2 linked regions of the Saccharomyces cerevisiae S288C genome follow. Changing the gene in region 1 together with any one later gene gives a genetic interaction. Each region holds a gene or a part of one and is shown in the gene's direction. Other genes may lie near its edges.

What was found.
Region 2: mutations in RER1 (region 1) and SEC12 together harm fitness more than expected from each alone (negative genetic interaction), as found in Saccharomyces cerevisiae (2 studies listed by BioGRID).

Annotation. Positions count from the first base shown.
Region 1 is NC_001135.5:110,043-113,009, forward strand, and holds RER1 (protein retrieval receptor), read left to right. Parts: upstream 1-1,873; coding exon 1,874-2,440; downstream 2,441-2,967. Other genes in the region: PGS1 (CDP-diacylglycerol--glycerol-3-phosphate 3-phosphatidyltransferase), read left to right, coding at 1-628; YCL002C (uncharacterized protein), read right to left, coding at 766-1,515, 1,592-1,633. UniProt on the Saccharomyces cerevisiae protein: Involved in the retrieval of endoplasmic reticulum membrane proteins from the early Golgi compartment. Required for correct localization of SEC12, SEC71 and SEC63 in the endoplasmic reticulum.
Region 2 is NC_001146.8:672,743-676,423, reverse strand, and holds SEC12 (Sar family guanine nucleotide exchange factor SEC12), read left to right. Parts: upstream 1-1,734; coding exon 1,735-3,150; downstream 3,151-3,681. Other genes in the region: peptidylprolyl isomerase family protein CPR8, read right to left, coding at 1-247; putative pyridoxal kinase BUD17, read right to left, coding at 548-1,501; MPP6 (Mpp6p), read right to left, coding at 3,455-3,681.

The DNA of each region.
Region 1 (2,967 bases):
ATCGACCGAAAAAAGAACAATATTGTCATTGCTTTCCACTATAACAAGCAATGCCATTTCTTGGACGTTCACTGCAGGATACTTCAATATTTTGCCAGACATCAAAGCAAAACTGCTGGCAACGCCGGTTGCTGAGGCAAATGTAATAACAGCTTCCCCCTTTGCAAACGGCTTTTACCAATCAAAGGGCGTCTCATCAAATTTACCTGGTGCTTACTTGTACCTGTCAAAAAAATTTCTACAAGATGTATGTAGGTACAGACAAGATCATGCTATTACATTAAGAGAATGGCAAAGAGGCGTAGTAAATAAGCCGAATGGTTGGTCATATCACGCAAAAGGTATTTGGCTTTCCGCTCGTGATAAAAATGATGCTAACAATTGGAAACCCTTTATCACGGTTATAGGATCTTCAAACTATACGAGAAGGGCGTATTCATTAGATTTGGAATCGAATGCTCTCATTATTACAAGAGATGAAGAGCTAAGAAAAAAAATGAAAGCAGAGTTAGATAATTTATTACAATATACAAAACCTGTAACTCTAGAAGACTTTCAATCAGACCCAGAAAGACATGTTGGCACTGGTGTAAAGATAGCTACCTCCATTTTGGGTAAAAAACTTTAGATTCTATTCTATCATAGTATGTCGCCTGTAAATATGGAAAAATAAAAGAAAAAATAGTAATAATAAATGCATTATCTAAAACTCCTTAAATTTGCAAACATCGCAAAGCCATTAAGGTAGAGAATGAGCTGACCTTGTTATAGTTTTCCTTTTGGCAACCGTGGTTTCCGTCCTACGTAAACATACTGAACTTGACAAAGTATGACCAATAAGGTGACAAATTGTATCAATTTTACCCAAAAGGGCGTTGAATTAAATGGTATCTCGTAAAACAATGCATTGGTCGGTATTACCAGTCTACCTAATAAATCGATAGATTCAGCCAAAAATGATATCAATGCAAACTTTGATGATAAACCTACTGTTGAGCATCCCATCCAGTTTATACTCATTTGAGGCACATACTTGAAACATTTAAGCAGATTTGCCATTACCCACAAATAATTTATGTGTTCCAAATAGAAAACGCCAAATTTACCTGAATTTTTCAACGGTAAATTAGAGATGGAACAGCCATATGTAAATATGCCTAATACAAGGAACACACTTATAATTATTATGGAAGTAATGGAAATGCCCTGATAAATATGTTTAGTTGACCTATAATAGTATAACTGCCTTAAAACCATCATGCAGCAACAGGAAACGCAAAAATCTTTTAGAATGAGGAAACTGGATATAGGTATACTACGGGCATCATTCAACGGATAAAAAAGTGGGAATCTTTGAGACAGTTGTTCCCTCACCAGAGATGAATAACAATAATGCAACGCGCAATACAAGTACAGACCATTACCAACAAAATCTAGCAGAAATAAATCATATGAAAGCCCGTAAATAGATCGATGAAGTTTATTATAGCGCTTTTGACATAGAATGGCGATGATCTATGTAAGAAATGGAAGTTTTCTCCCTTAGTTAGTCAAACCTTTCATGTATACTTTCTCCTTCAATTATGCATACTGATAAAAAACCTGCCAAGCCCTGCAGAACAATAACAAGCATGTGAATGATTCAATATAATTGCTTCGCAGGGCTCCTCAACCTCTCCTCTGGAAAACCTTACCTCAATGAGGTTAAAAATTGTGGGTTTTTCGTTCGCAGAGGAAAAAAAAACTTGTCAAAACACGCCTCTGCAGTAGAACACGAATTATACATAAGAAAAATAACGATACAAGAAAGGCGATTTCGATTTGGGACTAAGTGTTACACGAAAGGCATAGAGTATCAAAAAAAGGAAGCAAGATGGATTACGATAGCTCTGATACAATGAACGGTGGTTCAAGTAACCCCTTAATCACTAAGATGAATACAATGAAATTATTATATCAACACTATTTGGATAAAGTCACTCCTCACGCTAAGGAGAGGTGGGCTGTATTGGGTGGTTTGTTATGTTTGTTTATGGTTCGTATTACAATGGCCGAAGGCTGGTATGTGATTTGTTATGGTCTAGGTCTATTTTTATTGAATCAATTTTTAGCCTTTTTGACCCCAAAATTCGATATGTCCTTACAGCAAGATGAAGAAAACAACGAATTGGAAGCTGGAGAAAAATCAGAAGAATTCCGTCCATTCATCAGAAGATTACCAGAGTTCAAATTCTGGTATAACAGCATTAGAGCCACTGTCATTTCCCTCTTGTTGTCGCTATTTTCAATCTTCGATATTCCAGTATTTTGGCCCATCTTATTGATGTATTTCATATTATTGTTTTTTTTAACTATGAGAAGGCAGATTCAACATATGATAAAATATAGATATATACCCTTAGATATCGGTAAGAAGAAATATTCTCATTCTTCTAACTGATATACCCTGACTCCACATACCTATTCAACGAACACATTCGTATCTTAATTATATGTAAACAAAATTATATGATAGTTACAGAATAATTGTGATTATTTTCTCCTTCTACTCATCTTCTCTTATATTGGAAGAATACATGAAGTTATTGATTAAGCAAAATTGAAGGGAAGAGGCTCATTTTCTTCCATTTATAAATGGAGAGCTTGAGATGCCTCCAATTGATAAATTTTTGTAAAGACTTTCAAGAAACATGTCTAAAAAGAATTGACAGCTTCGAACCTTTCTGCATAATTACTAATACCAAATTAGTGAGAAATGGGGTATGTCGAGGAATAAAGGATGCAAAAGAGAGAGTAATGTCATGCAAGTTGTGAGTTTGAAATGTTCACACGTTTATAATGTCCATACTCCGTGGCGTGCATGTGTTTTAGTGTATTAGTTTTCCAAGTTATTAAAGAACTTAGTAAATTTATCATCGAACGCATTTTGATTAAGTGGCACAATAGACTTCAATGGAAAATGAAAAT
Region 2 (3,681 bases), on another chromosome or scaffold:
TTACTGTCTTGGGCACCATAGTCCCGTATAAGTCTATTGTTATGAGACGGCCGGCTTCTTCCGAACTTTCAGGATCTGTGAAAACAATTCCGATGTTTACATTATGTGTAATAGGAGGGTCTGGTGCGTATTTTTTCTTTAGGTCTAAGGAGTCTGAAGAAGCCCTTTTGTTATCCACAGGTAATGGCAGAGCCGTTATGCAACTAAACATGAATGCCACATAAAGATAAAGAAAAAAGCTCTTCATTGGGAACCAATGTATACAAATTGTAATAATCTTTCAATTGTGATACTGAATATGAATAGTCTTCTTTATTTATCTACTGCAGTAGTTGATTCTATATATTCTATATATTCTATATTTTTCTTCTATTTTTTTAAATATTTTTTTTCCAATCAAATTGAAAGACCCAAAGAAGGATCGATCTTCTCCAAAGGGACGCGTCGTGTGCCTACAGTTTCCAAATCAGGAATGTATTTTCCTATTTAGGCAGGTTCCTGCAGCAGCCGCACCCCAATGAGGAAGGAGCATACCGTTTCGTAAGAATCATATTTTAATGGTTTTTGGCTTGCCAATGGAGGGTATGAGATCTTGCTTTAGGATGTCTCTACACTGAATCAGCTTTAAATCCTTGATATCTATCGTGGAATCTTGTGGGCCCCGCTCAGCTATGTTTAAATCATACGTTTTTTGTAGGATACTGGTGACGAGCCACAGCACTTGGCCCAAGGATGCGCTTAATGACAGCTGTGTGCAGCGGCGGTCGCCTAGTAACGAGTCAGTGAGCATGGCGCTGATTAAATCACCACTTCCACTAAATTTTGCGTTGATCTTGGGGATTTCATAGAAGAATATCTCTTCACTGGCCGAGCAATCAAACCCTGCTACTACGTAAGTGTCGTTGCTCAGGAATTCAGATAATTCCAGACTAGTGACAACTATTCGGCTTACTCGAGGGTACTTTTTATGAAATAGTTTAAATGCCTGCTTAGCGTCGTCTAAGGTACGAATTGACATCCCCACCAACAGTTCCATTTCAAACTGATTTGGTGTGGCCAAAAAAATTTTGAAGTTTTGTAAAATGTCTTGGTATACCGCAACACATTCTCGATCCACGTACAGCCTTCCATTATCGCCCAGTACAGGATCTAATATCCACTTGACGTTTTCACTCCCCTCACATAATTGACCCACTATTCCTGCTACCTTTTGCAGGGCTTGAACATTGGGTAAATAGCCACTAAGTACGGCATCATACTTGATTCTAAGAGACCCAATCAAGCCCTTCTCTACAATGTCTACCAACTCCTCAGTGCTGCATTTGAAGCCTGTGAAGTGGGCGTACCCCGAGTGGTTAGAAAACTGAACTGTGTTCAATACGTCCACATCCCAACCTCTGTATTGAAGTGGGAACGTAGCGGCCTTGTTTCCCACGTAGCCATGTATGACGTGTGATTGAATGGAGAGCACTTTTTTTGTCGTATGTAATGTACTGGTCATTGGCACCACCCTCACACAGGCATGTATTCAACCTTCCACTGCGTCTGGTCTAATTTCTCAAAGCTAGTTATTATCTTTATCTTGAATGGTGATGACAATAGAGTAAGAATGAGGGAAAAAAGAAAAGTTGAAAAAAAAAAAATCCAAAAAATTCAAAAACGTGTACAGAAACCTAGAAGGATACGTGATAGAAATACAGATATATAACAAGGTTGAGATACAATCGAGCCACTATGAAGTTCGTGACAGCTAGTTATAACGTCGGGTATCCTGCGTACGGTGCAAAATTTTTGAATAACGACACATTACTTGTGGCAGGCGGTGGAGGAGAAGGAAACAATGGCATACCAAACAAGCTGACGGTCTTGCGCGTGGATCCTACCAAAGATACTGAGAAGGAACAGTTTCATATATTGAGCGAGTTTGCATTGGAAGACAACGACGACTCTCCTACTGCAATTGACGCTTCCAAGGGTATCATTTTGGTTGGCTGCAATGAAAATAGCACTAAGATTACCCAAGGTAAAGGTAATAAGCACTTGAGAAAATTTAAATACGATAAAGTGAATGATCAATTGGAGTTCCTCACTAGTGTAGACTTTGACGCATCTACAAATGCGGATGACTACACGAAGCTGGTTTATATTTCACGAGAAGGTACCGTTGCAGCTATCGCATCATCTAAAGTACCTGCTATAATGAGAATCATTGACCCGAGCGACTTGACAGAGAAGTTTGAGATCGAGACTAGGGGTGAAGTAAAGGATTTACACTTTTCCACTGATGGTAAGGTTGTTGCTTATATCACCGGTTCTAGCTTGGAAGTGATTTCAACAGTGACTGGAAGTTGCATTGCTAGGAAAACAGATTTTGATAAGAATTGGAGTTTATCTAAAATAAACTTCATAGCCGATGACACAGTATTGATAGCAGCCTCTTTAAAAAAAGGGAAAGGTATTGTGCTGACCAAAATAAGCATCAAATCAGGAAACACTTCCGTATTAAGATCCAAACAAGTGACAAACAGATTCAAAGGGATTACTTCTATGGATGTCGACATGAAGGGTGAATTGGCGGTACTGGCAAGTAATGACAATTCCATAGCTCTTGTGAAACTAAAAGACCTGTCAATGTCTAAAATATTCAAACAAGCTCATAGTTTTGCCATTACAGAGGTCACTATCTCTCCGGACTCTACATATGTGGCGAGTGTTTCGGCAGCCAACACTATCCACATAATAAAATTACCGCTTAACTACGCCAACTACACCTCAATGAAACAAAAAATCTCTAAATTTTTCACCAACTTCATCCTTATTGTGCTGCTTTCTTACATTTTACAGTTCTCCTATAAGCACAATTTGCATTCCATGCTTTTCAATTACGCGAAGGACAATTTTCTAACGAAAAGAGACACCATCTCTTCGCCCTACGTAGTTGATGAAGACTTACATCAAACAACTTTGTTTGGCAACCACGGTACAAAAACATCTGTACCTAGCGTAGATTCCATAAAAGTGCATGGCGTGCATGAGACGAGTTCTGTGAATGGAACTGAAGTCTTATGTACTGAAAGTAACATTATTAATACTGGAGGGGCAGAGTTTGAGATCACCAACGCAACTTTTCGAGAAATAGATGATGCTTGAGCTTGAGAGAAAGTTATGAGGTAGCAATAATGAAGTAGCGAAAAGGAGAGTGACGACACTCAAGCTATGAAAAAAAACGCAAAGATACAAAAACGATCTCAATGATATTGATGATAGAGATTTATCTGATAAATTAGAAGTGGTGTATTTACATGTTTTTGTATATGTTTTGGAATTGAGCGTAATAGAAAGGACGGCAGTCCTTATGGTTTATGACAAATACGAAAAAAATACTACACAATGCTTTATATTATGTTCTCATTATTATATACGAATACGTACTTCTGCTGGTGCATTGTCTGCGCTACTTTTTTGAATTTCTATTTTTATTTTTACCATTATGGTTGGTCTTTTTCTTTTTGATGCTATCCTTAAATAATTTATCTAGGTCATATTCATCCTCTCCATCGTCTTGGCTCCCTGTAAATTCCTTATCCTTAGCATCCCTTTTCTCGTCTTCATTTTGTTCGCCTTCATCAAACTTTCTCTTCCTGGAACCACTATCATCAGAATTATCGCCAAAGGTTTTTC